Mus musculus: one gene and its partner. The protein of the gene in region 1 purifies or fractionates together with the protein of each later gene. This does not show direct contact. Links are inferred from orthologs where the notes say so. Each region holds a gene or a part of one and is shown in the gene's direction. Other genes may lie near its edges.

Region 1 (4,856 bases):
TACCATTGCTATGTGCACTTATGTCCCACAGGTAGAAAACTTTTGGCCAAAGGTGGAGTCAGAATACTAAATGTAACTTTTCCTTTCAGTGTTCTGAGATTCTTGTGAAGCCTTGACACCACACTGTGCTCTACCCATAACATTCATGGACTTTCAAATAGTTTTTATTCTTTTTTTTTTTTTTTTTTTTTTTTGTAAGAGCTCTCCTAGGATTCATCAAATACCAAATGAACCAGATATGGCTGTTCTTTTGGGAGGCAACTTCTCCTGCTGGTTGTTTTTTTTCCCATTTATTTTTATTAAAGATAGGATCTTGGGAACTTAGAGTAACCATTCGAACCAGCATGTATCCTGCAGTAAGATCTGATAGTCAAGATAGATTCAGACAGAAAACTTGAAAGTATATTTGCTATGCATCATATGTAATCAATATGCTGTATATTTTCACATTAAGTAGTTTGATATTGCTGTGCCGGGCAGTGGTGGCACACGCCTTTAATCCCAGCACTTGGGAGGCAGAGGCAGGTGGATTTCTGTGTAGGCAGGGCTACACAGAGAAACCCTGTCTCGGAAAACCAAAACTAAACCAAACCAAAACAAAAGTTTGATATTTTGGGGAATTCTGACCTGCCATGATTTATTTTTTAGATACCAAACTACTATAAAATTATAAAGAAACCGATGGATTTATCAACGGTGAAGAAGAAGCTTCAGAAAAAACATTCCCAGCATTACCAAATCCCAGATGACTTTGTGGCTGATGTCCGTTTGATCTTCAAGAACTGTGAAAGGTTTAATGAAGTATGTTAGCTTCCAACCTATAGAGTATTGGCTATTAGTTTTCTTCTGCTTGTTTGTTTTTTTTTTAACCCCCTGTTGAAAGAACCAACTAATTTGGTTGTTTCTCCCCCTCCCCCTTTTCTCTATTCTATAAAAGCGAAATTTGCTTTTTTCCCCCCTCAGCTCTAGAGAAGAAAGATTGTTATGTGTAGTTTGGAGTATATTCCTAAGTACAAGACACTAAGAGTATTACTGAATACCCTTTCCAAAGGGAGATGTGGTTCAATAGGAAAACAGTCTGAAGTTAAGTAACTTGGTGGGATAGGATTATGTATTCCCACATTGGGTCACTTACAGGAAATTTAACAGCGCCTATATTGTTTAGTTCTGTCACTGGCCATACACAAAAAGAGTGTTAAGACTAAACTGCAGGCCTCAATATGTAATGGTGAGGGTTTGGTTTCTACAGTGAGTTTTTGTGAACTCTGAAGCTAAAGATGCCTTACCTATAACTGAAGGAAAAAAATGTGACAGATACTCTCTATAAGGGAAATTTCTTTTTGTTATCTTTTCAGTAACGTCAAAGTTTATATTGTTATAGAAGATTGTCTTCATTATAGGAGAAGAAAATGGTACTAGATGAGAATCCAGGTCTACTCATAGCAGTCTCTAGTGGCATCAAGGTGTCACTGTAATACACAAACCAAACTCTCCATGAGCTGTAAAGTGTAGTCACCTTGATATCAGTATGCCACAGAATATATCTGTAAAATCTTACTTCAAATTACAAGTTAGAATTTTTGTCTGTTTAAAAATTTAGATTATTTTCAAATGAATATGCTATTGTATACTATCAATGACAGAAAGATACGTTCTGCCTGTCAAGAGTTCACTTTTGGGCCAGGCATAGTGGTGCACACCTTTAATAATAGCACTTGGGAGGCAGAGTCTGGCAAGTGTTTGTGAAGTCCAGGCTAGCCTGGTCTATATAGTGAGTAGATCTAGGATAGCAAGATCTATATAGGAAGACCCTGTCTCAAAAAACAAGCCAAACGAAACAAAAAGTTAGTTTGTGATTAATGTATTGCCATAAAGATAGAATTCTGATTATCTTGTGGAACGTTTCACCATTTTAAAAATAGCATTCTAATTTTCTCTTGAGTAGATTGATGCCTTCAGACAAGTTTCTCCTAAGACTGACCTCAGTAGTGTAGAGTGAGACTGTTACTAAGGTTTCAAAGTAACTTTATTAACAGTTTTGTAAGGAAAGTTGTTCCATGTTTAGTAGAATTTTAGGTAGCACTTAATCTGGTTTTAGCAATTTGTTCTCCCTAGTATGGCTGACTTTCGTCACCAATCCTATACAGTCTCTTAACTTTAGAAAGGTTTATAATTTCCCTTTTTTTTTTTTTGACTCTGGTATCCTTTTTAGATGATGAAAGTTGTTCAAGTTTATGCAGACACACAAGAGATTAATTTGAAGGTAAGCTTTTCAGACCATGCAAACTTGGTGAAGGAATATGCATTATCAATAGGTGAATATTCTTATCTTTTGTTTGCAGGGTGATTCAGAAGTAGCTAAGGCAGGGAAAGCAGTTGCATTGTACTTTGAAGATAAACTCTCAGAGATCTACTCAGACAGGACCTTCACTCCTTTGCCAGAGTTTGAGCAGGACGAAGATGATGGTGAAGTAACAGAAGACTCTGACGAAGATTTTATACAGCCTCGTAGAAAACGCCTAAAGTCAGACGAGAGACCAGTACATATAAAGTAAAATGACTCGGACTTAAATCGGTTGTTAAGAAGAAGGAAACAAAACAAAACACCCTTTTATTTAAGTGTTGCTGGAATATCCTGTGTACAGTGGTTTTACCTCCTTACAGAAGCTGGTAGCTTTCATACAGTATTAGATTGAAATAATGGAAACAGAAAACATTCTTGTCAAGAAAAGGGGAGAGAACTCTGTTTGCAACTTTAAGAACAAAATTAGAAGTGAAAAAATTTGGGGATTTGCTACAAATGAAGACGGTTCTCTGGCTGTTAGAAATGTAGATGATCATGTCTGATAATTGGTGCAGGATACTGAGTTGGGCAAGCCTGCGAGATGTGTCTCTGCTGGAGCACACAGGTACTCAAGATAACTTAAAAGCCTTCCCCTCCACAGATACAAATGGGTTGTTTTCTGGTTAAAAGTGAGTACATGAGATTCCACTTGAATGTCACTAAAGATGCATTGAATCATGCCACTGCATTTTCTCTCATTTTGATCTATTTGGCCTTAGTTTTTAAGTTGGTTTAAAGAACTCAGCAGTAGTTTTATTTTATTCTTAGATGTAGGGTCTAGGAACATAACCATTGATCGTTTAGTCAACTTCGGTGGTGTACTAAAATGATGATAACTTTTAGTAGTGGATCATACAGATTTATGGAAGTCATTTCCAGAAAACCCTCCAAACAATTACACTTACTGGTCAAATCATCTGATCACGCAGTTAGTCATTCCCCTGAAAGCAGGACATTTATTTCAGAATTTTCTGTGTAGGTTAATTAGATTGAGAAGGTGACAACTTTAACCTAGTCTTCTTCATACCAGTTTCCAGTAGACCACTATTGGTAAACAGAAATCTGTCAGCTACCAAATGTGTACAATTTTCTGTATTTCACTTTGTCTTATTTGTAAATAGTGAGCTCAGACTTCTGGCAGATCAGCAACATTTGCTGAGCCTGTTTTTTAAGCTAATGTGTATTCTTACTAATGTTCCTACCAAGAATGGATTTGTAATATATGCTGTCTATTTCTAATGTTCACATTCATATTTTGAGGTTCTATCTTATTTTAATAGAGAACAGACGTCTCAAAAAATCTTCAGAAGCAGCTTATTATTGAAATATCAAAATACTGAAATAAACCCGGTGGGGTTAGATTACTCATCTGTCCACCAAGTGGGACACGTGCATGGACTGGGGGCTTTGAATGACTTAGAAGAGACCTTTAAGTAAATCCTGAGAACGAGCCAATCCCCACTTGAATGGTAATTGGAACAAACCCAACCTTGTTACTACCTGACGGCAGGAGCCGACCTGCAGCAGACAGGTGTGCTCGCTCGGGTTTATCTTCCTCCTCTGCGTTGTGACGCTCAGATCAAGTGTGCTCTAGACTGTGTGCGCCTCTCCGCTGGATTAAGAGTTGTAGTCCTACTTCTGTATGGACACAGTAGAATATAAAGTGACCAAAGTAGAATTCAACATCAGAAACATTTCAGGTGTCAGCAGATGTGTGGCAAATCATTTGCCTCTCAAAAAGTTCAAAGTAAGGAGTTCAGACTGTAGACCTCCTCAGAAAGCTATTTGACGTAAATGTCGAAGAAGTGAATATTTTTAGTGTGCATTGAATCAAATAAAGTGCTCTAAAGAAATTATTACACAGATTCCTTTGGGTTGTTTTTTCTTAAGGGATGTGGGTAAAGAGGAGGAGTATTTAGGCCTTTTCATACTGCACTTAAAAGAGCTTGATCGTGTTATTACCTCATCTCCTGGCTTCCATTTAGCTTCCCTTATAAATTAACCTTCAAATCATTTATCATTTTATTGAAGTTTCAAGTTTGTTTTTTAGGAGGGGAAGAAAATTTATTTTTAAAATGTTTTATTTATATCTATTTCTTTTCTTTGATTTCCATGATTTGACTTTGTAAGTAAATGAATATCTAAGGGTACATTTTTGGCAAGTGGGGGCGCAGAGGTTTGACGTCATTTCCTGACACTTCTGGGTTCCGGTGTTTTTTATTTGCTTCTCATGTGAGTCCTTTACAAACTTCTTAGCAGTAAATTACAAACAATCTCTGTTAAGTGGAGCAAACACAGATTGTTAAGCAAATGTTTCTCAATATTTGAAACCCTGAGAGAGCGTGTGTTCCATAAAGGCATTCTCATGTTACTTGTTGTTTTGTTTCCCTTTAACACTATCAATTTAGAAGTTTCTCTCTGACAAGTGTTTAGGAAGCTCCGTTTTTGTTAGCAAAGGTATCCTGCTGCTGAGGAATAAATTGCTATCAACAAGATGGTCACTTTAAACCCT
Region 2 (5,547 bases), on another chromosome or scaffold:
GCTATTTCATAACTGTAATTTTGAGGTTATGAATTGTAATATAAATATCTAATATAAATATCTAATGTGCATAATATCTGATATGCGACCCCTGTGAAAGGTGGGTAGACCCTCAAAGGGGTCATGGCCCATAGACCGAGAACCACTGTTGTAGAGTCCCTGGGAGGACCTCTAGCTGACAGGCAGCAAGAGACTGAGACCTCCAGCCCTGTGGTCTCCGGGCAGTGGATGCTGACGACACCTGTGTGAGGGAATGAGTCTTCTTTCCTGGGGGGGGGGGGGTCTTGCTTCTGTAGAGGACCAGTGCCTGGACACCGCAGGAACAGTAGGTGTACTGCTTTAACCTTCTAAAGTGTACCGTGCTATACAGTCATAAATACCTGTTACAGATGGAATAGAAGTTGAGTGATAGATAGTAAGACAACTTAGTTTTAATATTCTTCTTTCAGGAGCATCCAAAGGGTCATGAGTTGATCTACAACCAGTTTTAATGATCTGCCAGCTGAAAGATCTTCCTTCAATCTTTAAAGTTGTATCCTTTGAGAGTGTCATACATGTATCTATACATTGTATATAGATCTTATCCACTCCAGGCTTTCTTACAACAGCTCCTGGACTCCCCCACTGGAATATCCTTTTCCTAACTTCATATCTCTCTCTCTCTCTCTTTTTATATATAACTCAATTTGTACTGCACCTATCAATTTTGATGACAATGAAGAATTGGATTTGTGAAGGAAATTCTACTATCGATTCATTTAAGTGATTTATTTTCTCATTGCAGACATCAACTTTTGAATTGTCCCTTTGGCTTACCCTGGGGGGGCAGTGTTACACATTGGTGTGTGTTGTAAAGTTTCTCCAACAGACTTAAGAAATGACTTGGTCTAACAGCTGTACTAGAAGGAACCCCGAGGGAAGGTGAAAAAGGAAACAAAAAGACAACATATAATTCATGTTTCCTAGACGTCTGAATAAATTTAAAGTTAGGGTCTGTCTATTTAGTCCTGGTTTGAAATTTGCCACGTAAATCCACCAGGCTGGAGCTCCTTCTGTCTCTGCTTCCCAAGGGCTAAGATTTACATGCATGGGCTGTGATTTAAAGCCAGGGACTATACGGCAGGCTTGTGTTCTAGCTACTAAGTACAATATTCATAAAATTATACAAGAAAGTAAGTACAAAGTCAAAATCAAAGACGGGCCTTTTGCCACCAAATGCACCACTTTTGTGGTGGGATGGACCCAGGGCTTTGTATATGGACAACAAATTTTGAACTGTCCCTTTACGTTGCCCTGAAAGTTTTAGATAGCGGACCACTTAAGTAATGAGAGGTAGTTTTGACTTGTTTTGTAAGGTGTGAAGTTCTGAAACTGAGCTTTCTTTACATCCCAGCCTGCACAACCTATTTAGCAGGTGTACACTTAAGCAAGTCTTGAAGGTCGCCTCCAACTCGAAATTCCCGCCTCTTTCCCAACTGCTCACGTTTGGCCACCTCGGGCTAGGCCCTGGAATGTGACTCCTTGACTGTCGCGCGCGCCTCCGAGCTCAACCTTTTGGAGCCGGTGTGATGAAAGGGACAGAGTGAGAGATCCGCTCGGAAGTAAACTGCTACAAACACCCGCACTCGGTCCAGCTGTGTCCACCAAGGTCTTCAAAAGCCAACCCAACCCGGCGGGCCTGCCCATCGCTCATCCCGAGCTGTCCCACGCTGCTTGGGTACTCTGTGAACCGCACTCCGTGTCTGAAGAGGGCATCCTGCGAAAAGGCGACTCCCCTCCGGCGCCGTTGCTCGCTCGCTGCTCAAACTCAGCCAGAGCCGCCGGGCTGCCCGCGGGCGCCTGCGCACTGGGACCCTCCCTGCTCTGGGCGGGAGGCGGGGGCAGCGGGGAGAAAGGAGCGCTGCGGGAGGGGAGCGGGGGAGGGAAGGGCCAAACCCTGAAATTACCCGGATGTGGTCTCCGCGCGCGCATGCTCAGTGTCCTTCCGACAAGTTGGCAGCAACAACACGGCCCTGGTCGTCGTCGCCGCTGCGGTAACGGAGCGGCTCGGGTGGCGGAGCCCGTGTTCGCGTCCGTCCGCCCGCCCGCCCGCCGTCCTCCGGAGGCCCTTCCCGCGCCGCGCTCCGCTCCGCGGCCGTCCCCGGGGCGGGAGCGCGTGACCGGAGCCGGCGCCCGCGAGCGAGGCCCCCCGCAGCGGGGCGGCTCCGGAGCTCCAGCGGCCCGGCCGGCCGGCGCGGTCCGCGGCGCGGCGGGGAGAGGGGGCCGCCTGGGCCGGACGCCGCGGGCGGGGCCCGGGAAGCGACAGCGAGGCGAGGCGCGGTGCGGCGCGGAGCCCAGGTAACGCGCGGTCCTCCCCTAACCGGGGCCTCGGCGCCCGCGCTTCCCCGCCCCGGGGCGGGCTCCCGCGGCGACCGGCGCGAGCGTGGGCCCAGCGGGGCTCGGGTGGGTCGCCCCCGCGCGTCCGGGGCTTCGCGTGCCCGCGCGTGGCTCCCGGGCCCCAACTCCTCTCGCAGTTAGGCGAGCCCGCCGTCCCGGGAACTCGGTCGCCGGTCCCCGTCCGTGCCGCCGCTCTTTGTTGTTCGGGAGGAGTTTGGCCGCGGCCCGGGCCGTCGCGTCGGCCCGGCCCGAGTGCGTTATGCCCGGGGTGCCCCGGGTCGGGTCCTCGTGCCTTCCCCACCTCCCCCACCCCCCAGCAAGTGTTTGTTTTCTCTTTGTCCCCACTTTCTCTTCCTGGTTGTGTGCTCTGAGTTTACGTTTGTAGCTTTGATTTGTTTACTTTTTGGGTATTGTGGGTGATGGCGGCGTGCGGGAGACACTCTTAGCGCCAAACTGAACCACCCTCCCCTAATAAAACGTGTCTCCTAATAAAAGGCGTAGTTTATTTTATTGTTAGGGCTACATGCACGGAGCGTGAAATTGGTGGAGGGTGGAGGGCGTTGGCTTCAGCACCCCAAACTGCTGTTATGATTTCTCAAGCCAGATTTTCAAAGACAAGGGCGTGTTTAGTTAACTTGAAAGGTTCCTTTGCCAGAGGTTTTAAAAAGCCCTGTTTATTGATAGCTCCTCCCCACTGCCCCACCCCACAAAACCTGGAGTAAACTTAATTTTTAAAGTTGGTTTTCAGGTAATTCATTTTAGAATTTATCAGTGCCTTCAGTTTCTGATAACTTAAGGTGGGATTGTCACTTACTTAGAAATAAAGTAACGAGATAAAGAGGGAGTTATTTTAAGTACCTTGAATTCGTGTTCTGCAGGCTTGTAATCTCGCTTAATTTTTTAACAATCGTTGAATTTTGCCAGATTTAGCATCCTTTTCCTCTCAGTAGTAGCTTGAGACTTTGAACGTTTTAAGAATCAGGTTCAGGACTTTCTGCTGACACAAACCGTGTGGAATCTTAACTGAATGTACAGAAATCTATTATAAATTCCACAAAGCAATTAGATTTCAAGCACCGCATTTGAATAGTTTTTGTTACAGATTTTACAGGTTTACCTTGCATTCAGGATATGAAGCGCTTGCAGTTGAAATGTATGTAGCATAGGCTATTCAGAGAAGTAAACTTCTCCCTACTGTAGACTCTATCTCTTGGATCTATCTGGTAGGATTAGTACGTGTTATTTCAGAGTGTAAATGATTGCTTTAATATTTCTTAAAATACAGTTTCTCCCTAATGCTTTGTTCAGTGTACTGTCATGAGTCTCTAGGGCTTCCTGCTCCTCTCTTCAACTCCTGACCATCCGTGTCTCTCAGCTTCTCCGGAGCTGGGATACAAAATTGCGACACGGTGCTCATAGGCTCAGGAGTGTGTTTTCTTCAGTGACCTGGTTACAAACATGCACCGAGGCAGACTAATACCCATAGCCTGAAGCAGCTTCTGATGTGATGAATTATGTAGGCTTCAATTGCCGGAATTAAAACAAATCCTTTCCAAAGAGAATTGACATAAAGGTTTTTAGTTTTTTGTCACTGTCTTAAGACAGGTGGCTTTTTTTTTTTTTTTTTTTTTTTTGCTTTCTAGGCTTTTGAGTGAGTATGCATTAAAGGGGTATTACATATTTTTGTTTTTGAAGATGTAGTTGACACTTTTGGACTAAATGCTTCCACTGTAAATCTTAAGTTGGGAAGAATTAAAATTGTGTTTACAGAATTAAGGAAAATTTGTGCTAAACAAGTCAGTGCAGTGATTTGGCGTGTGTTTTATATGGACCTGAACTTCCCTGATGGTTTTGCTCTTGAAATAGTTCTGATTATATGAGTTGTACAGATCTTGCTCTTTCTTTAAGGTCATTTTCATGTATGCTACATGTTAATTCAAGTGTTTCTGTTGGTGAGTTTTGTCTCTGGATTCTCTGCTTCACACACACGGGGGAGGGGCCGTATTAATGGTGGAATAGTAAAATACTTTATGCAGGATCCCCCCCCCCCCCCCCCCCCGTTAGAACCTGTTTTTTTATTTTTCTAACTGAGCCAGAGTTATAGTAACATTGGCACACACTATTCTAATTGAGCTGTGCATAGCTGGGGCCTGTACCAGGGCAGTTAACCCTGCAGAGTCTGCAGAGTTGGTTAAATCTAAAGTGCATATTTGGGCTTCTTTAAAATTTGATCTCTAGATGAGAGCACAATCCTTTTTTTTTTCTTTTTTGTTTTTGATGAAATATTACCTACTTCAGTTCTATTTTGTCCCCCATCTAGTTGATGCCTAGGTTTTTGTTTTTCTTTTCATTTTTGATTCACCCAGAATGAGTGTCTCTTTATAAGCATCTTGTAATAGCTTTCTCAGTGCTTCCTTGTGGTTGGATACCCCGGCCCTCCACTGTGCTGGGTTAAAGCCGTGAGGAGGACTGACTCAGGTGGTCCTCAGTCAGGTATACAGCTAACCCGACTAAAGGCTGTCATTGTTTCTGTGCTAAGTGGAAGCTGAAGTTAGAGCGGATGTCACATTTAGTACCGCTTTCTCAGATTACTTAGTTCTTTCCCCCATCTGCTGATTAAGATTCACTTAAGGTAGACATTCAGATAACTGATAAATATGTATAGATAGCATGCATATGAGCTACTTCTGTTATGATACTGTAATATCCTCAGCTCATGCTAATGAGGCACATTTAGAGTTGTTGGATTTTTTTTCCCTTTATTTTAAAATGTGTAATTTTGGTAATGGAAAATTTGGCTGAATACCAGCTTCTCAGAAACAAGATATTTTAGATTGTGTCACCTTGACACTACTACATGATGTAGCTGGCATCCAGGAAAATGTATTTGGAATATGAAATTGACGACTAGGATAGCTAAGGACGAACAAGTATGGTACGTGCTTATGTAAAACTACACTGCTGTGCTCAGGTGCTGAGGTTGCTAAGGTCCACCGGTCAGACACACTAGAGACAACTGTGTTTGTATCAGTCAGTTTGATGTTGATTGTCTTCACAACACAACTGCTTTTTATTCATATTTTAGATAAGAGTTGTTTTCCTAGTTTAAAAAACTTATCATATGGGGTTGATTTTTATTTATGTATTTTTTATCAGCTCTAGCCCCCTCTG

Evidence for each region. The genes of interacting proteins can lie anywhere in the genome.
Region 2: the proteins of Trim33 (region 1) and Smad4 purify together in Homo sapiens (affinity purification with western blotting; 7 studies listed by BioGRID and IntAct, with this or other methods). This does not show direct contact. The link is inferred for Mus musculus from reciprocal best matches to the Homo sapiens genes TRIM33 and SMAD4.

What each region holds. Positions count from the first base shown.
Region 1 is NC_000069.6:103,351,355-103,356,210, forward strand, and holds part of Trim33 (E3 ubiquitin-protein ligase TRIM33), read left to right. Parts: intron 1-648; coding exon 649-801; intron 802-2,212; coding exon 2,213-2,263; intron 2,264-2,342; coding exon 2,343-2,555; 3' UTR 2,556-4,856. UniProt on the Homo sapiens protein: Acts as an E3 ubiquitin-protein ligase. Promotes SMAD4 ubiquitination, nuclear exclusion and degradation via the ubiquitin proteasome pathway. According to PubMed:16751102, does not promote a decrease in the level of endogenous SMAD4.
Region 2 is NC_000084.6:73,700,220-73,705,766, reverse strand, and holds the start of Smad4 (mothers against decapentaplegic homolog 4), read left to right. Parts: upstream 1-1,975; 5' UTR 1,976-2,337; intron 2,338-5,547. UniProt on the Homo sapiens protein: In muscle physiology, plays a central role in the balance between atrophy and hypertrophy. When recruited by MSTN, promotes atrophy response via phosphorylated SMAD2/4.